2 linked regions of the Oryctolagus cuniculus genome follow. The protein of the gene in region 1 purifies or fractionates together with the protein of each later gene. This does not show direct contact. Links are inferred from orthologs where the notes say so. Each region holds a gene or a part of one and is shown on either strand. Other genes may lie near its edges.

Region 1 (11,478 bases):
AAAAAAAGGAACACAGCATAACGTGCATCACAGGGACTATGTAAGTGCTCAGCGACCATGCCGGTCCCCAGCTGCTGGTTAACTCCAGGAACTAATCATCAGGCAGAACCTAACACCTGCCCAACTACTTCTGCCCCAGGGTCGACCCGGGTCCCAGCCTCTCCCATTTCCAGATGTGGCCAATCATCTTTTCCAGAAAAAAAACAAGAGCCTTCCTTGCTCCACTGCACCCTCCTGACAAAAGCCGTAGACTGTCAGGTTCGAACCTGGCTTCCTTCAACCAGCAAGGGCTTTGCTCCTGAACTTCGTTCCTGGGGAGCATGGCTTTGCTAGGACATGGACTGCTGGGAGGCTGGGGCAAAATCGCCAAGGGCCTCCCTCTGCTCCTCTTCCCCGGAGGGGCTGAGGCTGGTTGGTTCACCTTCTCATGCCACCGGACTGTGACAGCGGCACAGCAGCCTGGGCACTCCCCAGCCAAAAAACATCATTCCACACTTCATCCAAACCAACACAGTGAGGGGCTGGCATCGTGGCACAGTGGGTTAAGCTGCTGCTTCTGACATCGCAGCCCATACTGGACTGCCAGTTCTGAGTCTCAGCTGCTCTGTTTCCACTCCAGCTCCCTGCTGATGCGCCTGGGGAAGCAGAGGAAGATGGCCGGAGTCCTTGGGGTCCTGGCTTCAGCCAGGCCTGGTTCTGGCCATTGTGGTCATTTGGAGTGAACCAGTGGATAGATCTCTTGTCATTCTGCCTTTCAAATAAATCAGTCTAAAAAGAAAACCAGGAGTCACAGCCTGAGCACGGTACCCTGCTCTAGGAGTGTCACTGCTGGCACTGAGCTGAGGACCAGAGAAAACCTCCACCTTCCTTCCTGTTACCTTCCTTCCTGTACCATGTTACAAGACTTCCTGAGCTCCCACCGCAGGGGCCCAGCACTCACTGCGCGCCCACACCTAGTGAGAAGCTCCTGGCATCCCCTGAAGGATGTCACCAGCAGTGGGCACCCTCACAAAGGACCCCTCAGGTACCCTCTGAAACAGAAGGCTGAGGGTAAGATTATCTGTCGGTGTGCAAAGCGTGGCTTGTGGCCCATCCTCGCCTCCCCTTCAAGCCCTCCTCACACTTGTGAAGGCTGTGAAGCAGAGCTTGCACTAGGTTTCACCAGGACACATTGTTGCACAATTCACCGTCTTCCTCGCAGCACCAGTTCAAGTGCAGACCCAGGGCAAAGAGTACCCAGGGACGGATCTAAGTGGTTCCCGGATTCCCAGTAGGTTCCAGGGCCTCGGGGTGGGCTGAGTGCCAGCCTGCTATTCTCGGCCCGCCACCTGCATGCAACTGCCCACGAACCCTGGACGAGTCACCTTTAGCTGCCACCCCCGTTTCTCTACAGCACCGCGCCCCATCTGTAGGACACACTCCCTTCCTCAGCGATGTCTTTCGTGGCATCCTTGAAACACACACACATTAAGACACCCAAAGCAACTTCAGCTTCTGATCCAACACCTCAAGTTCTAAAAAACTGGTCAAACTGGAAATATTCTAAGTTAGAATTTCTGGGTACAAGGAGCTGTTTTTTCTTGCTAAGGGCTAAAATCCACACATGCAAAAATAATAAAGATTTCCAAGGTAAATTTTACTATTTTATTTGTGAAAAAACTACAAGCAGAATTCATAAATAGACATTTCTATTTAAAGCAGGAAAATGATAAAGTGGCTTCTAATAACATGGTCGTGCACATGCCAGTAACAGGAATATATTAACATCTTTTATTTGCTAGACAAAGAGCAGTGTCCAATATAAATCTCCCCCAAACCTTTAAGACCTGTGAATTTCTGACCAGTTCACAAAACCACCAACTGACACTTTAGCATGAAGGAAAACCAAACCCAACAGACCGCCCGCTCTAAAGACGCTGCAGAGCAGAAACTTCCAGAAGCGCTATACAAGCTGTCTTTCTGGGCAAAGGAAAAATAGAGCTCGTATAATACATTGACAAAAATTCACAAGATAAGATTATGTTTTGACATACTTAACAAGCATTCTCTATTTGTCTCCAACAAACAAAGCTAAGGAAATAATGTAACCATCTTTACACAGTAAATTAAGGTTACAAGTCATACACAAGAACAGAACGGCTTGCGCATTAAAAACTGTTCAGCTCCATTGTCATACTCTAAATGTTGGCTCTTAAACCATTTCCGGTTACATACAAGCAAAGGTTATTATATACTCAGCAATTAATAAACTTTCAATAATTTAAGATATGGTAGCTTAAAAAAGTAGACTGAGAATGGTCTTGGTAAGGCAGGTGAAACGTCTTAGTGGAACTAAACTCACAGAAGCTTCGCCAATATTGTTTAAATAACCAGACTGAAACAGAAAGGTTCAGATTAACATATTTTGTGGGTGTCAAGATGTCTTTTTTTTTTTAAGCTGCATGACTAAACAGAGCAAGTCAGGTAAGCTATGTGTGTGCGCATGCACGCACAAACGTGACCGATCGTGTGGTAATAAAACAACTGGGGAACTGCAAGCGTTAACACTGTGCTTTTTGTTGTGTCTTGTAACCTGCTTTCTGTGCCACTGAATACCAAATATTTCTGGTCCTCTTTTAATATATCTCCTCATCATCTACACTAGTGTTTTTACGCACTGCCTACTAATTGTAGGGCAAACAGCAAATGCGAAGTCTACAGGAATTCCATTTCCAGAATGCATGCCTGAGGGATGTCATCAATCTCAGGAATCCCAAGTCCGAGGTCCCTACCCCTCGCGATGCCAACAGGACGCACAGCAGCAGCAGAGGGGTACTCCGCACTCTCACCTGAGTGCTTATGACACCAACCACTGGCTGCCGCTCCTACCACCTGTTCTAGAGCTACTCCTCTCCCTCCACCCCGCCCCATTCTTTAATTTATCACGGAGGCAAAACTGAAGAACCAAGACATTGGCAATGAATTAATTAGCAGCCTATGAGTAGCTGGTTAATCAGCTTTTTCCACTAATCTAGGGGGTCCAATCACTTTACATGAAACTAATTTTGAAAAAGTACACAGTATTTCTGAACAAAGTGCATACCAACACTTAATTGGTTCAAAAAGCAGTGCAACCCACATATGAGTTTGGTGGTATTTAAGTTTTTTTCTTTTAAAAAGTTAATTAAAAAACTTAGCAATCCCTTACACCTCTGGAAAATAAATATGGCTGACTAATTTACCCTCCCTGAGACCCTTAATAAAAGGACTATTAAAATTTTAGAAGGAATGTCTTTGCAATATCCCACTAATATTAAAATGTGGATTTAAAATTCATAGTCAAATTACTATGTATTATATATTCTGATGCTTATGGGAAGCATCTAATTTCCTTTGGTTCATTAATAAATACTTTAAAAATGTATTTAAAAAGATAAGCATAGCTTGCATCCCAGACACAAGCGTTACTTTTAAAAAGAAGGGAACATTGTCCATGCATTTGAGAGTAGGATCACAGCAACAAATGGCACTGCTTCGTTACCTAGACCTTCCAGAACAGAATCTAAAGTATGGAACATCAGTGACTGCACAATAGTTTTAATGTAAATGTGAAAGGAACCTTTCCTGTTGGCTACTCAATTCAAGCTGTTAATTTTTTTTTAACTTGTTGCCTCCAGACAGAAATTAATCCTGATTAATAGCAAACCAGGCTTTTCACACCAAAACATGGTGCTTCATTACATTACCTGCCCTCCCGTGAGCCCTTAAAGGTATGACCAAATAAAGGAAGGTGACATCAGTCCTCATGCTTGCAATGACTCGGAAGTACTACAAACTCCGTCGGTATGAATGCAAGTCAAAGAGAGACTCCAATCAAACAGAAGCGAAGCGAAAGAATTTGTTGTTTGAATGAGGAGAAGTGGAATCATCCTAGTGGTCTTTGATTTTTTCAAGACAGTAAAGAAAAAAAAAAAGAGTGAAAACCTTGAAAATTTTGCTCAAGCTATCTTTACGTCGAGGAAGAAAAAGATCACAGGCGCTCACAGTTCAGTGTGAGCTCTCCCGGCACCTCTGGCAGCCACAGCTCAAGCCATTCGCTACTTGAGTTCTTCCCACAGCAGGGAATTGAGAAATGTCTCTGAACACTGCAAAGCTCCACGTCAGGACCGGATGTGCGGTAGATAACCTTTGCTCCATAAAACCAACCACAGTAGGCTTCAAGAAAGACAGACAAAGCATTCTCACAACAGAACTGGGGAAGGTGAAAGTTTGAAAAGTGAGGGGACATGGAGGCACACACATTTCAATCAGAGCAACTGCCACTGCAATGTCATGTGCAGAGTGGGAACAAGGGGCTGCTTCCTATGGACCAAAAACACAGCTCAGACGCTTTCAATCCTAAAACTAAGAGACAATTTCTAGGTTTACCTTCAGACATGAGTAGAGGTCTGGAAAACGGATGGAATTCGAGTTACAGAATACCATATTTTCATGAGTGCTAATGTAAGACAGCAATGTTAACATGTAACCGTAATGTACACGAATACTTGGCATTCTGGAGCTAGTTTAGTTACTTTTGAGTGATCAAAGCCCTCCCCAACTAAACCACTTGTGATTTGTCAGTTATTCCATCGCAAATGCAGGCTATCTGGAGCAGTCTTTAAATTTGAGATCACATTGTTTGAAAAAATATATATTTTTATATCATCCAGTACTCTTTAGACAGATGAGAGTCCAGTTCCCACATGGGTTGGAACACACTTCATGTAAGACTGACTTTAATTTAATTTCAGCACTTTCTGTGACTGTTCAATGCTGTATTCACTTCACAGTGTATCAAGCACCAGCGCTGCCATGGATTGGTTTCAAATAACCCTTTAGATATAATTTTATATTTATATATATATAGTTATATCAAAACTGATAGTACATAGTATAACTTGAAGAAAGAACTAAACTTAAAAGGATATGCTGAAAGGATGGAGTTTGTGAACACAATAAATAAAAGTTCCCTCCCCCTCCCAACCCTCCCTCCAACAAAACAAAAACAAAAAACCAGTTGTAATGTACATGGAAAATTGTGCACAGCAGATTTTTTTTTTATAAAAAGTAGATTCAGGAGCACATCCAATTATAAATGATTGTTAGGAAAATCATATAAAACAATGGAATACATAAAAGTGTCAAGAGTAATCGTCAGGGTGCGAAATTCCTTGGTGGCCAGATGCCCATGGCAAGCAGAAATTATCCTGGCAGCATCACTAAGAGGTCGATGTCCACAGATGATTCTCCAGGGGTGCAAGCAGCATGGGCAGGTGGAGGATTTGAATTTCATACCCTGATTCATAGTTTTCACAACTCCATGTGCAACTTCAGAAAGATTCATCATTTACTGCCGACATATCGCCCTTTGGCGTGGAAGAACGGGAGGAGCCCTTGTCTGTGCTCTCTGAGCCCGAGCTGCTCTGGTTCTGCTGTTCTGACCCTGCACTGGAGGTCACTGTGGATGAGGATGTCGAGGAGGAGCGAGTCTTTTCCTTAAAGTCTGTGATAATGACGGTGACATTGCCCACAGTCACTGCCAACTGCTGCGCCGTGCTCCTGTCCACGTTTTTCAGCCGGGGCCTGAAAGCAACACCATGAAAGAACAGTCAATTAAGTAAGTCATGCTGGCAAAACACCAGCAACACACCTACAGTCATCACGACACCACGGCAGTGAATCCAAACTTCCTAACAACCATGACAAAGCTGGCTGCGGAGTGTGCGCGTCAACTCTGGCAATCACGGAAATGACTGCTGGGCTCGCAGCACTTCGGATCCACTGCAAAATTCTTATTAATTTACCCCTCTCTTACTTGCACCACCCTCACAGAGAAGTAGTTTAAAGTAATAAAGAGGTCAACAAACACCTTGCCCCTCCGCCCGTATCTCTTAGCCTAGAGATCCACAAATACAAAACCACCCTGCAGTTCCGGATGACGACAAATCCACCAGAACCACAACTTCTTCTATTAAAGTACCTTGAGGTGTGATTCGTTTCACTGGTCTTTGTTGTCGCGTTTGCCGACTGTATACTGTTTGCTTCACTAGGAGGGTCTTTCAGAATGTCAGACTTTGGTCTGAAAGAGAGGATACAAAAAAGCAGCATTTAGAAGATACTTGTGGTTCACCTGCCAAGTAATATACTGTACTTTGCTACCCAGGGACTTACTTTGTTTTCTTATTGGTGTTTTTCTTGGTAACACTAGGACTGATTTCCTTGTCTTTCTCAGGTTTCTCTTTGTCTGGCTTTTCCACTTTCTCCTTCTTCTCCTTTTTAGGGGGCGGCGGGGTGGCATACTGTTGTGCCACTTGCTGTGCCACCAGCTGAGAATTGATTCGAGGTTTCCTAAAATAACCAAGAAAAGATGTATCATTATTTGCTTTATAAATAGTATCATTATTTGCTTTTAAGTATTTCTTTGAATTTTTTGTTTGATCTCCTAACTTCTGAGGTATTTCATGATTGATAGCCAGCAACAGAAAATGCATTATATGGTTTTATTTCTACATTATTATTTTGAGACAGTATGGTTTCTTTTTCAACGGAAATGAAACACTGACGTGTGCTAACACAAACACATGTAGCCCCATACGGTAAAATAGTCTTTTGGCCAATAAGCATGACAGTGTTTCTAACAGTGCTGAGAACACTACTTCTTTTGAGCTGTCAAGATAATACTGACTGACAGCTTTCAAATAACTCTGTTGTAGAGGGTTAATCTCATTTTATTAAATGAACACTGATAATCCCCTGAAAAGAGAATGAAATCAGAAGTGTGACATTCACTCCTCAATCTAATTATTCTGACTTGGTCTGCTCTCCTGCAGCTCTGTGATTGGCATAGATAACACATCCAGAGCAATAAAAGGTAACACTGGTTCACACCAGCTCCCAAAGGGCCGTGAAGGTTCAAAGTCACCATGAAGAACTCTCAAGACAAACGACACATTCACTGTGGCATCAACCATCATATCGTGCCAATCTCCAACTGACACTGGCTCTCAGCACTATTGTTCACAAATGCTAAGTGGTGCCAAACACTATTCACAGGGCCTAGCCATTCATACACCCAAAAGAGAAAAGGAGAAAAGAATACCTATGGATTCTTTCTATATACTATAGCCCTCTCCCCTACCCCCACTAGTGGATGCCTGAAAACCCAGAATGAAAGCCTATGTATGTGTGTGTGTGTGTGTGTGTGTATAAACACTATTGTTCTGACTGTTGATCTGAGAGATGGCTACTAAGTGACCAACAGCTGAGAAGCAGATACAGCGTGGACACACAGGACAAAGAGGCAATCAGTGTCCTGGTCAGGGTGGCACGGGAGGACCTGGCACTTCATTGTGATACTTAGTACAGTGCACAATTGAAAAGGGAGTCTTAGATTGGAGGGGAGGGGCTACTGTAATGTTAGTTTTCAAAGACATTCCCATCTATACAGACATCTCTACTGATACTTCCCAAACACAAAACCCAAGTGAGTCCTTAACAAGGCGAAACAACCGTCTGCCACAACTTAATGGTCACCTTCAGATCCTACAGCTCTCTCCACCCCCAGAGGAAAATAATGCAGAGCAGCAGATCTAGCTCAGGCATGGCGGGGAGTCTGTGTTGAAGGATTAGGAAACACCCATCTAGGAAAACAGAGTAAGGTTGCCTTTTTACAGTTCTGCTGTTCTAGGTACATGGCATGATTCCCTGGGTGAAGCAGGGTTACTCCTGGAGCATCTCTTGGAAGGGAGTCTAAGGTGGCTGGCAACAGACACATGCTTACTCCACAACTGCATTAAGGTTGACCTATGTGCTGGCTGGGTGGCAGCACAGATTGCAAGGATACATATCTGATGTTAAGTGCAATCTCAGAGCAAACTTCCTATCAGCCTCCAACAACACAGGCCTTGGTCGTAGGTTAGCACACCATGAAACCACTAGCCTCAAAGCACACTTCTGCCAAGAACCCAAGTGGCCTCACTCACCACTGAGCAAGAGACTCAAACACATAGGAAGTAGAAACATCCTTCCTCTGAGCCCCTGCCCCTCAAACACAGGGAGGACGCTTGTATGTAACAGGTAAGTTTCCCTCTGCAGTCTCTTATATGGATGACAAGAAAAGTCTTCTAATACTTCTAAGCACTCAGGAGAGACACAACACATCAGCTAAGGGGCTAACCAAGCCAGGTGAATTAGAGTGAAGGTGCCATACACTTATCAACACTCAGGGCTTCAAATAAAATGAAATGGGTTAATAATATGAATAAACCATTCAAACTTTTGAAAAGCTACACTCTGAGGGAGAATTTCAATTGGGCCAGTATGTGTACTGTACTCCAGAGCAGTATGACTCAAGAACAAGAGAAGGTACCTGGATTTCAATTTAAGAGGACCCTAAAAAGAGGGAGACTCAAAGCTAAGTCAGATGCCTGGCCCCAGAGAACCCGCAGCTTAATTAGCACTCATGCTGAGTCTGAAAGCTGTGTCTCACTTCAGGATACCTATGATGCTCTAGGATGTCACTTACCACATGGCCCCATAACTGCCAATCAGCCACATATTCCTCAATGGTAAAGATCTCATTCTTCCCACCTCTGTCACCAAGTTTAGCCAGCTCAGGGCCAGGTCAATAAAAGTCTTCCATCCGGTGGTTCACTCCCTAAATGGCCACGATGGCCAGAGCTGGGCTGATCTGAAGCCAGAAGCCTGGAATTTCTTCCAGTTCTCCTGCAAGGGTGCAGGGGCCCAAGTTCCTGGCCACCTTCTACTGCTTTCCCAGGCCATAGCAGAGAGCTAGCTTGTAAGAGGAGCAGCTAGTGCCCATATGGGATGCCGGTGCCACAGGCAGAGGATTAACCTGCTGTGCCACAGTGCCAGGCCCTCCAGGGAAGATTTCTAAAGCAAAGAGGTCTTGAATCATGCAGTACACTGAAGGAGGGAGGACTGGGCGCAAGCAAGAGAAAGGGGCAAAGGACAGAGAACCATCCAGAAAAACCCTGAGGAAAGGAACAGAAGCACTTTCTACTGAGGCAAGAGAGGAATGCTAAGTAAACTGTCTTTCTAGTTAAACAGGTCAATTCTGGGACCCGTGCTGTGGAGCAGCAGTTAAGCCATGGCCTACAGAGCCGGCATCAAGTCCCAGCTGCTGCATTTTCGTTCCAGCTCCCTAATACGCCTGGGAAAGCAGCAGAAGATGGCCCAAGTGTTTGGGCCCCTGCACCCACATAGAAGACCTGGTTGAAACTCCTGGTTCTGTTCTGGCCCAGTCCCGGCTGCTGCAACCATTTGGGGAATAAACCAGCAGATGGAAGTCTCTCTGTGACTCTGTTTTTCAAATAAACAAACAAGTAAACAAATAAATTTAATAATAAAAAAAAAGTCAACTTGGGGAGGCTGTCTCAGTTGGATACTACAGGGCTTGGGGTGGGGAGCGAACCTGGAAATGAGAAATCAAAGAGATTATAAAACTTGAAGACTGGATGTGTGTAAAACTGTAGTAGGAAAGAGAGTTAGCGATGAACAGACAAAAAAGGAAGTTACTAATACCTCATGAATTACTCTCAATGGCATGAATGTGGCATGTTTACAAGAAGTAGTTTTTGGCTACCCAGGAAGTATGTTTATGCAGAACGGATCGTTCCCTTAAAGTTAGCTGCCAAGGCTACTGTTTGCAACAGTATACTGGTACACAGAAGTAAGGTGTTCATCTAAATGCTTCTGCTGCTGGCAAATCCACCCTTGGAATTCTTCAGTGCCTGCAACACAGCACAGTATCTGTAGGACAAAGTCTACATGAACAATAAGCTCAACTCCAGTTCTAATTCCGGACTGCTGTGTTTGAGCACAAATACACACTTTCTCACTGGCTCCTAAAAAAATGTTTGACTTAAAGTGGTGAAATTAACATTCCTCCCTTTTACACAACAAAAGGCAATTTCACAAGAGAAAAGGGCCCAAGGCTATTTGGGATTCGATTACTACCCAGAGAAAGAGGAACATCTGCTAAACCACCTGTGTCACCTGAAAGGTACTGCTGTGTTCCACATGCTGCACTACACACACCCTGTTCCCCAGTGACAACCCAACTCTGAAGCCATCATTTGTCCCTTCCTCAGCAAAACCTTTTCTTCAGCAACAGGATTTATTAATCAGTAGTCATTTTTCACTACTAGTTCTTCAGCAAGTGCAACATTACTTCCAGGTTTGGGAGGAGGGGTGAGGTGAGGAAATTCACCTTTGGAAGGGGAAGGGAAGGGAAACCGAAGGACCACCAGTGTGCCCTCCCTCATAAAGGTGCCATCCTCTCCAACTGCTCCAGCAGCTCGTGCCACCTGCCTCTCAGCAATGCTCTCCTGACTGCTTGTGGGAGAACAGGGACTGTCCAGTGACCACAGTGGAGGCTGCACCAGGTTCTCCAGACTGCCTATTACAGATTGGACCTGCAGCATAAAAGGCAGGGTCATTCTGTAGCCATCATGGCACAGGCACATCAGGAAGCTAGACTCAGAGCAACAGCCCCTCCAGGAGTAACTGCCATCTCCACTTTGCAAATTAAGACAACTGAGGAGCAGAGATGGAGAAACTTGTCCAAGGTTTACAGTTAAGTGGCTGAACCGAGATCTGAACCTGGCTCCATTTGGACTCTCCTACAAAGGTATCCTCAAACTAGTCTCCCCGCTTTGAAGAGCTCTGACTTGTTTTTTCCTGTTCGTGAGTGGGGGTGGGAGACTGTGATGTGACTTGGCACAGGATACCAGGGATGAGATCTCAGGTCAACTCAGATTCCAGTTTAGCCAGGGATCTCCCCAAGAATCCACTGCCTTTATTAGCATCACTATGCTTTGCTTTATCAAGAATAGGACTACTTGGTAGTCCTGTGGCAGACAAAAAGGGCAGAGGAGCTGGAAAACCTGCTCTCTTTGTTTTCACTGTCCTTGGAATACCACGGGTAAGGAATGAACCCTTACCTTTACATTTAACACAGTTCATCAGTGAGAAATAGTGACCTTCCACAAATTTTCACTGTCAATGATATCATCTAAGTATCATATAACATAGTGTACACAGCTCTTGGTCAATGGGCAGAACTTTCAACAAGTGGTAGAAACTCAATCCCTCAAAATGGAGCTGAACATCTCAATCTCCAGGATCATCCCAAGTTTCCCACCTAATAAACCTTAAAAAGAAGCAATTAACAGTCTTCACCATATGCTGGACATATTAGATCAAAACATGTCCACTTGAGCTTCTGACATCTAAGCTTCAATTTGAAACCAACACCCCCCCCCCCACACACCTCCACAAAGGAAAACTACTTACCAGATATACAAGAGAGTAAACAGTGCTGTCTCCCTTACAAGTTTGGCAGATCTTTGTGGAAACATTTTATAGGTTTATCGTTGCTATTTCAATAGCTTACAAATGAAAATGTGCTATAAAACGTCAATCATACACATCAAG
Region 2 (11,478 bases), on another chromosome or scaffold:
TCCTCTCACTCTACATCTCAAAATCACATATGTAATTTTCATAATCAGTTTCTCCTGGGTCAACATTAAAGGGGAGGGGTTTTTGGAGACTTCAGATTTTTGTCAAAGACTACACAGCCTGTTCTAAAGACTAAGCCCTTCTCAAATTAGCCCTGGCAATTCCTAGTTCTAAGAGGTCTTAAGAACACTGTATGTTGGGAGTTTGCAATGACATCTGCAGCCTTCCCTGAACATCCAGAATCACCCCTCATTTCCACCTTTGTACATCTCTTATAAACAGTAAAATAGCCTCCAATCGATAATTATGACTGGTTTGCTTATTTTCTTCTTCTTATAAAAAGGAAAGCTCAGAAGCTAAAATGTTCAGAAGCTCAGAAGCTAAAATGGTCCTTTTCCTGAGGATTACTCACTTGCCTGCTCTTTGACCTTCAAAAGCCTTAAGAGCCTTGGGAAGTCAGGAGGAAACGGGAAGAGACAAGCAAGGAAACAGTGGGAAACTGCCATTACCTGGGTTAAAGTACTAGCATCTCCAAGGACAATTATTAGCAGGGAAGACAGGTGCTGGATTCCTTGGCTAAGGCATTGAATGAAATCTGCTGGGTAAAGAATGAAAGGGACAATGAGAAGCTGAGGAGCACTCTTTACCTACTTCATGTTTCTATAGCAACCCTCAATGGAGGAAAGGTTACTAAGTATTGATGAGCAAGCCTAGAAAGGTAAGCAGCATAAAACCAACAAAGAATGTGCTCTCACTTCAATTTGCAGAAGTTTCCCCACCCTTTTCAATCTGTTAATTACCAGAGTTAATAGAAAGGGAATCAAATATGGAAGTAACAATTCACTGGCTAGATACACTCCTCAGTTGGTCTCACAACCCAGTTCTGAAGATATGCTGAGTGGGATTTGGGATACAGAGACAAGGGATGTAGAACAAACAGAATCACCTAGGCACAGCCCAGGCACTGGAAGCTCTTGTGTTAGTGTTTTACAACACAAGCAAATCCTGTCAATGAAGACAGAACAGGGGTTACATTCCAAAATATAATTATTTAAGAAAGGCAAAATGCAGCAGCTAATTCCCAGTCTATACATTTTCAGAATAGTGATTCTTGCCCCTAGGAGTTTCCAAGAGACCCCTCAAGTGCACCATGATTATTTACAAACTAGATAGGAAACATTTCTATACTCAATACAAATCTCATCTTCTAGGTTGAAAACTTCAGCCTTTGAGAAATCTATGAAAACTATACAAAAATATAAATATCTTTATCTTTACAGGCTGTCAGTCCTTCATACCTTGACAGCTAATGAGTGAAAAATCTCTACATATCACTGAATCCATGGTTGCAGATAAAAAATATATCTTGTGATTCAAATACTGCCTTATTTCCCTGGTAGAGTGCCTACTGTGACTTTTCTTTACATCCTGTGCAGGTAATAGTGAATGAAACCTTCAAGCACCAGGAGACTGGTTTGACTCAGGAAATATCCAGCCCCACAATTTTTTTTTTTTTTTAATTTGGCCACTGTCTCTGATCTAGGGAGAAAATGCTTTTCATTTTAGCTATCTCGTGAGTGACATGATTTGTGAAAGGCAGAGGGCCCCCTTCTTTGCCTACGTCCAAAACCAATATTCCCCAGTAGAAATGCCTGGCATGGTGAAATGTCCTTTTCCAACATCCACAAAGACAACAGGGAAAACTTTTTTAACACCTCGAAGTAATTACCTTAATAGTAAAAGTTAAAAGTAACCCTACTTTACCAAAAGGCTTGAATTTATAATTCCAATAGAAAAAGTGAGGGAATGGAAGCTACTTGGGAGACCAAAGAGAAAATTTTGCTGAACAATACTAACTCCTTCACTTTGGTATTCCATGATAATCATTCTCTCGCTCTATTCTTGAAACACCTAAAAACTATCTGTTCTGGATCCCTTTTACACAAGTGCATCATATTCCTTAGATTTCAGACTTAACAGGACAGATATCAGCTACAGTTCAGTCCATAAGAGCCCCCAAGTCTCAAGCAGCTTTTTCTCTTGGGGTGGGGTGGGTGCTGGGAGATAACTAGGAATCACTACAGAACTAGTCTTGTTATGAATTCCTTGGGCAAGGGGGCACCTCAAGTTCAGTAAATGGATCATGTCTTCTTAGGATGAGGGGACCCAGCACCACAATTGAGGTAACACATTTAACATGATCAGAATTCCTTAATATTTCTTGTACCAGGGTCGAGCACCCTACCCTCTTTCTCTATCATTATTCGCTGCATCATCTAAGTCAAAGATCACTGTTCTATGACACAAATAAACAGATGCCTGCAGAGAAAGAAGGTGAGATCCAATTTTCCCTCACAATCTGGCTTCTGCCTGAAGACAAATACTTTCATTTCCCTGCAGAACCTGATGAGGCTCCAGAGTTGCCCAATTTAGCCATAACAGGTGCCAACGTAGGCATCACCTTGCTCTCCCGGCCTTCCTGGTCACTCCCTGTTAAGTTCATTTTATTTCCAACTGACCCAACTTTGGCAGCTACAGGTGCCAAGCAAGGCATCACCTTGAGACTCTGACCATCTGTATCATTAGAAGGATTAGCTACTTTTAAACCTAAAGGTGCCAACTTTGGCATAGGCCTCCACAAAGTATCAGTACTGCTGTTGTTCTCCACGCCAGTTTTCATCTGGAGGATGGGGGGCGAGGACATATTTTCAGGCTCTGTAGTGAGGCCAGAAGTACTCTTCTCTCCATCACTAGCTTTCCTATGGGAAAGGAGAGAGTCCTTTATTTCAGAGTCAATAACAATCTTAAGGACATCTGGCTCAGAAGCTGGTTCTGCAAGTTGTTTTTCATTCTCAGAAAAGTCATCATCTTCCAAATGTAAGAGGAGGGGACTTATGGAGTCACTCTCCCCCTGAACATCAGGTAAATCTTTCAAACCAGGTCCCAAGTGGCCAACCTGGAAAGTTGCTCTGTTCCCAGAAGGAAGTTTACTGATAAAAGCACGCCGAGCATCCCCTGGGAACTCTGTATCCACAGAGCTGGGCAGTTCAGCCATACTAACAGAGTCATCATTCAGCTGTTGATTAAGGAAGGCAATCTCATTGAGCAGTGATGTCAGTGTCTCATCAGTATCATCCTCGTCTTCCAGGTTCGTGAGCAATTCACTGGAATCCAGTTCTGCCTCCTCGATAGCTGATGCTACTTTCCTCAGTTCCATCTCTATGCTGGAGTCCTTTAGATCTTTCATCTTTAATTTATGAAATGGAGACTCCTTTGACTTCAGTCTCTCCCCTCTTGACTCACTCTCTTTCCATTTATAGTGAATTCCTCTCACATCACTAGTATTCTTTTTAGGTAAGAACTCCTGTACTTCCTGTACATTGGAAACGTCAACTATCTGTGGAAAACCAGAATCTTTATTTGCCAGAAAAACCTGTGTTGGACTCAACACCACTCTGCCATCTCTATGATTTCCTTTGGAAGAGATTCTACTCAAATCCTCTAAGGGATTATCTTCATTCCTGATGGTATCTTTCCGGTGGTCAAGTGGCTTGCCATCAGTAACTTCACGGGGATATTTACAGCCATCCATATCTACCAGATCTCCCTCTGTGGCCAGTGATGTCACATTAACGATCCGTGGCATCATAAATAAGTCATCATTTTCTGAAAAATAAGAAAAATTTCATTTAGATCTAAAACAGTGGGCACTCCCATCTTCAATACAATCATATCAAATGACCATCTTCACTAGTTTTCTTTTTCTCCTTAACTTATTTGACAGGCAGAGTTATAGACAGTGACAAAAGACACAGAGAGAAAGGTCTTCTCTCTATTGGTTCACTCCCCAAATGGCCACTACGGACAGCACTGCACCGATCCAAAGCCAGGAGCCAGGTGCTTCCTCCTGGTCTCCCATGCAGGTGCAGGGGCCCAAGCACTTGGGCCATATTCCACTGCCCTCCCAGGCCACAGCAGAGAGCGGGACTGGAAGAGGAGCAACCGGGACTAGAACCTGGCACCCATATGGGATGCCGGTGCTGCAGGCAGAGGATTAACCAAGTGAGGCACGGCGCTGGCCCCACCAGTCTACTTTCATCAAGATTAAAGAAGTACCAATGATCCAGTAAAATCCAACCAAAACTCTTTGATATTCTACCATTAATAAAGTGCTATTTACTTTTTATAGAAATCCTCCCCAAATTAATTCTTGTGCTGAAACAGAAATGTATCTTGATTCTGTTCAATAAATTGTTACTTTCAGTGGAAAATAAAAGATGGCATAGTAAGAGAAAAGGAAGAGTCCTCCAGAGAGGATTTAGAAGCAGGTACAAAGAACTGTTAGGCTGTCAACAAAGGAAGGAAGATTTTAACATACCCTTTTTACCTAAGCAGAGATTTATGGGCCTAGAACCTAAATCATCAAAATGATCTTTCCAAAATGATCTTCCCCAAAAGAGAATGACATTCAAAATGAATCAGGGGGTAACTGTGGAGTGTACCATTTCTGAGTACAACACAAAATTGATAAAATATTCATCAACACCAAGAAATAAAACAATGACTGAACATTTTTTTCACTTTGACATCTTTTTGATTCTTCTCTTACTTCGAATTAACAACAATACACAAAACAGTTCCCAATCCCAGGTAAAACATATCAATCAACACCACAGATTCAGACAAACATCTTTAAAATATATATTTATTTATTTATTTGAAAGTCAGAGTTACACAGAGAGAGAAGGAGAGGCAGAGAAAGATAGAGAGAATGAACCATCCACTGGTTCATTCCCCAACTGGCTGCAACGGCTGGAGCTGCGATGATCTGAAGCCAAGAGCCAGAAGCCTCCTCTGGGTCTCCCACGCGGGTGCAGGGGCCCAAGTACCTGGGCCATCCTCTACTGCTCTTCCAGGCCATACCAGAGAGCTGAGGATTACAAGTCGAGCAGCCAGCACTTAAACCGGTGCCCATATGGGATGCCGGTACTGCAGGCAGCAGCTTTACCCACTACACTACAGCGCCGGCCCCACAAACATCTTCTTTTTTTTTTTTTTTTTTATTTTTTATTTTTTTGACAGGCAGAGTGGACAGTGAGAGAGAGAGACAGAGAGAAAGGTCTTCCTTTTGCCGTTGGTTCACCCTCCAATGGCCGCCGCGGTCGGCGCGCTGCGGCCGGCGCACCGCGCTGATCCGATGGCAGGAGCCAGGAGCCAGGTGCTTTTCCTGGTCTCCCATGGGGTGCAGGGCCCAAGCACCTGGGCCATCCTCCACTGCACTCCCTGGCCACAGCAGAGGGCTGGCCTGGAAGAGGGGCAACCGGGACAGAATCCGGCGCCCCGACCGGGACTAGAACCCGGTGTGCCGGCGCCGCTAGGCGGAGGATTAGCCTAGTGAGCCGCGGCGCCGGCCCAAACATCTTCTTAAAAAAGGCCCTGGGGACAGCACTGTGGCATAGTGGGTAAAGCTGCTGCCTGTGGCACCAGCATCCCATATGGGTGCTGGTTCGAGTCCTGGCTGTTCCATTTCCCATCCAGCTCCCTGCTAATATGCCTGGGAAAGCAAGAGCACATGGCCCAAGTTCATGGGCCCTTGCAACCCACATTGAGGCCATTTGGGGAGTGAACCAGCATATGGAAGATCTTTCTCTGTCATTCTGCCTTTCAAACAAACAAATCTTTAAAAAAAGAAAAAAAAAAGGCTTATCTATTACAAGGCAAATGCCAACCTAACAGCTCTGTATCACCACAGTATATGTTCAAAGGCTTTTTTTGTCACTGTGAGAAACCAGGGATAACTTTCGCAACCTAAGAATACAACACTAACAACATACCTGACTGAGCTATAGCACTACTGGCAACTTGACAAGGCTTTAGATCAGGTTCCAAGAGAGCAGGAGAAACAGTCACCACTGGTCCTGAGAGCATGGGACCTTTCAACGTGAGCAACTGCCCCTGTGGAGTCATCACGAGGTTTGCAGAGGTGTGTGGAGAGTTAGAAGGTGAGGTATTTTCTGTAAAGGAGATTAAAAATTAGTTATGGAATTTAAAGACCTTCAATTAATTTGGAATGAAACCCTGGAGCCTAAGAGTGTCTCTAAAATCACACTCTTACTTAAAAAGGAAAGAATTTCAGTGGCTGGTGCTGAAGCAGAGCAGGTAAAGTGGCTACCTGCTGTGCTGGCATCCCATATAGTTGCCAGTTCGAGTCCCAGATGCTCCACTATCAATCCAGCTCTCTGCTATGGCCTGGGAAAGCAGTAGAAGATGGCCCAAGTGCTTAGGCCCCTGCAGCCTTGTAGGGGACCCAGAAGAAGCTCCTGGCTTCGGATTGGCTCAGCTCTGGCCATTGTGGCCACTTGGGGAGTGAACCAGCAGATGAAGACCTCTCTCTCTCTCTCTGCCTCTATGTAACTCAGCTTTTCAAATAAATAAATAAATACATAAATCAAATTTTTTTAAAAAAGTAAATTTCAAATTCAGTTAGGAAAACAAAATTCAAAATTTACTTTCCTGGAACACTTTTCAATGAGTAATGGTTACCTGTCTACTGATTCTCCTAAAGAAAAGAATTAATTTTTTGAGGAACGGAGCTATGGAACCACCTTTTCAATGGGATGCTTGCAAAAGTCTTGATAGTGAGAAAGGAAGCATACAGAATTCCATCCCTGGGCTTCCCTTCCTATCTATGTACCTCTAGCAAATTAAGTTGCTAGGCTTCAGGGTTCTCTCATCTGTGAAATGAGGTGAAAGAAGAAACGGTCATTAAACTTCTTTTGATTTTTGCAATGTTAAACTATCTCAAGTTTTAGTATCCATCACTATATCACTATCTTAATTTCATATAATACACCAGATTTCCTAATTTACACACTGTATTACCCTAAGAGTAAAAAAGGGGTATGTTCTTCCCTAAGGATATAAATAATATAAAATCGATACAGCCTCACCTTCAAAATCAAGAGAAGAAAGAACTTAAAACCAATTTACTTTATTCCTTAACAGCATTGATAGGTGATCTGATGAAAAATAGAATCTTATGCAAAAACATTTTTTTAATTTCCAATTTATTTGCCTTAGCTATACCAACAGTTCCTCAACCAATCAGCAGAATCATACAAAGTGAAAAAAAAAAAAAAAAAACACTAAAAATATGTGACTGTAGACTGCTATCAGAAATAGGACTTACATGTTATCATGATCTATAACTTCTCAGGATTTGTATAAAGCAAGAAACTAAAATACAGGGGCTGGCACTGTGGTGCAGTGGATTAAGCCACTGCCTGCAGTGTCAGTCAGTATCCAATAAGGGCGCTGGGACTTCCCGGCTGCTCTCCTTCTGATCCAGCTCCCTGCTATGGCCTGGGAAAGCAGCAGAAGACGGCCCCACGTGCTTGGGCCCCTGCACCCACGTGAGACCTGGAAGAAGCTCCTTGCTTTAGCCTGGCCCAGCCACAGCTATTGAGGCCATTTGGGAAGTGAACCAGTGGATGGAAGATCCCTCTCTCTCTCTGTCCCTCCTCCTTTCTAATTCTGCCTCTCAAATAAATAAAAAAACAAATCTTTAAAAAAATCCCAAAATAGTTAATTTTTTAATAGAACCTTTAATTAATTTGAAACCTTTAATTAAAACTAAATTTTTGGCCAAGAGATGTGCAGTACCTAAACTAGACTGATGCTCATCTACATCAAAAAAGCAAAGAATGTCCCTCCTACCTGTGGCCTGGTCTCTTTTTCTGGAAAGAATCAAAGGTTTCCCCCTCCTGTTATTTATAAACATCTGTCCGAGATCTACAGACGATGTACAAGATGCTTCCTGCTGCTTGTTAGTTCTGGGAGACACATCAAACTCATCTGATCCCATCTTCTTTTTTCTTTTTTGTGTCTCTAATGCTTGTTGTTTTGCATAAATATATTCTAGCTTCTTCAGGACCACTTCTTCTGTCTTACCTACAGGTTGATAATGAATAAATGATCACTCTTTGTGTGACTCCACGTAATAATGAGAAATATAGTCAACTTGAGTCCAGCTGACTTAACTATATTGTCCAATACTATGAAAAAGGCAAGAGTGACTGCAATGCAAAGGAAATATCCCACCCAGTCAAAAGATAACTCTGCTGCAAACTCTGAGAGCAAAGTCTTACACTAAGTGTATCTGAAAAGTCTATTAAGGATTCCCTTTGCTAAACTTACTATTAATTTACCACAAGTAATTTACATATCTTACCTGAAAGAGATGATACTTTCCGTATCAGAATATTCCGTTTTCGAGTCAGGAGATTTTTCTGTCCTATCAATTTGTCTGCCTGATCTGTTAGCCCCTGAATTTCACTGAACGCCTAGAATAGAAATAATCAGGTCAGTTAACCTACTCTTTCCTCAAAATAGGCAAAGCCTACATAATTTGTTTAATAATAAAAAAGTTCAAATATTTTAGAGGACTCCATAGTACCATTTAAAATAATTACTGATGTTTCAGAAACTCCTTTTTATAATTCTCCAACTTAGACTTTGGTAATCAACTTTAAAATAAATTTGGCTAAAATAATTCTGCTCTAAGTGGATAAGAATGCTTACTCATACTTCTCCAACTTCTACTTAAAAGCAATTCAGGCCGGTGCCGCGGCTCACTAGGCTAATCCGCCTGCGGCGCCAGCACCCCGGGTTCTAGTCCCGGTTGGGGTGCCAGATTCTGTCCCGGTTGCACCTCTTCCTGTCCAGCTCTCTGCTGTGGCCCGGGAAGGCAGTGGAGGATGGCCCAAGTCCTTGGGCCCTGCACCCGCATGGGAGACCAGAGGAAGCACCTGGCTCCTGGCTTTGGATCGGCACAGCACGCTGGCCGTAGCAGCCATCTGGGGGGTGAACCAACGGAAGGAAGACCTTTCTCTCTCTCTCTCTCTAACTCTGCCTGTCAAAAAAAAAAAAAAAAAAAAAAAGGCAATTCAAATGAAATTATCTTAGTGGCTGACACTGTGGCATAACAGCTAAAGCCACTGCCTGCAGTGCCAGCATTCCATATGGGTACTGGTTCGAGTCCCAGCTACCCCACTTCCGATCAGCTCTCTGCTATGGCCTGGGATAGCAGTGGAAGAAGGCCTAAATCCTTGGGCCCCTGCACCCATGTGGGAGACCCAGAGGAAGCTCCTGGCTCCTGCTTTTGGATCGGCGCAGCTCCGGCTGTTGTGGCCATCTGGGTAGTAAACCACTGGATGGAAGACCCCACCCCCCCGCCTCTGCTTCTTTGTAACTCTGCCTTTCAAATAAATAATCTTAAAAAAAAAAAAAAAAACTCAGGCAATTTATGTACATAGTTTGAACTTTTGCTAGCCTGAGTATTACAAACTTTTTTATGACTGTCAACTGGGGTTGGTGTTTTGGTGCAGTGGGATAACCGGTTACTGGCATCCCATATCAGAATGCTGGCTACTCTGTTTCTGATCCAACTTCCTGCTAATGCCCCAAGGAAGGCAGCAGGAGATGATCCAAGTACTTGTACCCCTGCCACCCATGTAGGAGATCCAGAACGAGGTCCTGGCTTCTGGCTTTGGCAAGGCCCAGACCCAGCTGTTACAGTCATTTGGAGGAGAACCAGAAAAAGAGAGCTCTCTCTCTTTAAATCTTTAAAAAAAAAAAAAAAAAAAAAAAAAAAACCTGTCAGGTATGTTAAAATACCATTTATACTTTACTTTACAATGTGGTAAGCTGCTCTAAATGCTTACAATAACAATGTAAATGGTACCAGCATTGTGGCACAGAGGGTTAAGTCATGGCCTGCAAAGCCAGCACCCCATTTACAAGTGCCAATCCAGTTCCTACTGCATCACTCTGATCCAACTCCCTGCTAATGCACCTGGGAAAGCAGCAGAAGATGGCCCAAATATTTAGGGCCTTGCAACTCATGAGGGAGACCTGGATGGAGTTCCAGGCTCCTGGCTTCAGTCAGGCCCAGCCCTGGCCTATACAGCCATCTAGGAAATGAACCAATGCAAAAAGATCTCCCTGTCGCTCCCTCTCTTTGTAATTCTGCCTTTCAAATAAATCTTAAAAAGAAAAAAAAAAAAATGTAGAGACCATGGAAACAGTCCAATCAGAATTTTTGATGACACCTGAGGAAACAACAGCTCTACCAATTAAGAACATGACTTCCAATGAAAAGCTACTGACCAGACATAATCATTTTTCCTGAGATTCATTGGGCATTTATTAGTCCACATTCAACTGCTATACGTAAGTAGCTCTAGTTCAGTCTCCTTGGCATAGCAATGGATTCCCTTACTTACCATCTCTGTAAGATTCTCTTAGTCAAGCTATTACCTCTCATTTACACAAAATACTTACCCGAGTAAGAATGAGACTTTTGGAAACCTTTGAAGAATGAAGTAATCCCAAAGTGATCTTCAGTTTCTCAAAGAGATCCCTCATTTCTCCACGCCGTCGCCGCTCATTGGCAGTGTGTGTCCGGCGATAGTAAGCAAAAGCTTCTGCTTCTTTCTGTAGTTTGTCACTCCAGTAATCAGGCTTCAGTTTAAGCGGAACTGGTGGAGCCTGTCCAAAAAAGATTGCCTCTTAAACATCTTTCACATCAACCTGCCTTCTTGCACCTCAGGCACCCATCATCTTCTGTCTGGACTGTTATAAGAGCCTTTCAATTGGTCATTTTACTTCCAGTCTATCCTTCCTCTAAATCAAATTTCAACAATGTCCAACAGTGTAAATCCTAAGACATGCTGACACAGCAACATTGTTTTCCAGCTCAAATTTCAGTGGTTTTCAAATGAAGAATTGGAGGGGGAAGGGTAAGTGGGAGTGTAGAGGAGCAGAGTTATGTTAGGGGATCTGGAAAAGCTTATAATTTAGTATTGTAATTCCTATAATTTGTTTCCATGACACAAATTACATGAAAAAAAAATTTCAGTAAAATCTTGGCTAGTGGAAAAGACAGATTATAAATTTTTTTTTTTTTTTTTTTTTGACAGGCAGAGTGGACAGTGAGAGAGAGAGACAGAGAGAGAAAGGTCTTCCTTTTGCCGTTGGTTCACCCTCCAATGGCCGCCGCTGCAGCCGGCGCACCGCGCTGATCCTGGCAGGAGCCAGGAGCTTTTCCTGGTCTCCCATGGGGTGCAGGGCCCAAGCACCTGGGCCATCCTCCACTGCACTCCCTGGCCATAGCAGAGAGCTGGCCTGGAAGAGGGGCGCCCGGGACAGAATCCGGCGCCCCAACCGGGACTAGAACCCGGTGTGCCGGCGCCGCAAGGTGGAGGATTAGCCTATTGAGCCACGGAGCCGGCTTAGATTATAAATTTTTTTAAAAATATTGTACGATCCTGGCCGGCACCGCGGCTCACTAGGCTAATCCTCCACCTTGCGGCGCCAGCACACCGGGTTCTAGTCCCAGTCGGGGGGCCGGATTCTGTCCCGGTTGCTCCTCTTCCAGGCCAGCTCTCTGCTGTGGCCAGGGAGTGCAGTGGAGGATGGCC

The links.
Region 2: the proteins of RYBP (region 1) and MGA purify together in Homo sapiens (affinity purification with mass spectrometry; 5 studies listed by BioGRID and IntAct, counting the BioPlex papers as one, with this or other methods). This does not show direct contact. The link is inferred for Oryctolagus cuniculus from reciprocal best matches to the Homo sapiens genes YAF2 and MGA.

What each region holds. Positions count from the first base shown.
Region 1 is NC_091441.1:76,867,922-76,879,399, reverse strand, and holds the end of RYBP (RING1 and YY1-binding protein), read right to left. Parts: intron 6,370-11,478; coding exon 6,193-6,369; intron 6,101-6,192; coding exon 6,002-6,100; intron 5,605-6,001; coding exon 5,352-5,604; 3' UTR 1,631-5,351; downstream 1-1,630. UniProt on the Homo sapiens protein: Binds to MYC and inhibits MYC-mediated transactivation. Also binds to MYCN and enhances MYCN-dependent transcriptional activation. Increases calpain 2-mediated proteolysis of YY1 in vitro.
Region 2 is NC_091443.1:64,835,728-64,847,205, reverse strand, and holds part of MGA (MAX gene-associated protein), read right to left. Parts: intron 10,547-11,478; coding exon 10,340-10,546; intron 8,341-10,339; coding exon 8,229-8,340; intron 7,949-8,228; coding exon 7,715-7,948; intron 6,013-7,714; coding exon 5,833-6,012; intron 3,665-5,832; coding exon 2,385-3,664; 3' UTR 1-2,384. UniProt on the Homo sapiens protein: Functions as a dual-specificity transcription factor, regulating the expression of both MAX-network and T-box family target genes. Functions as a repressor or an activator.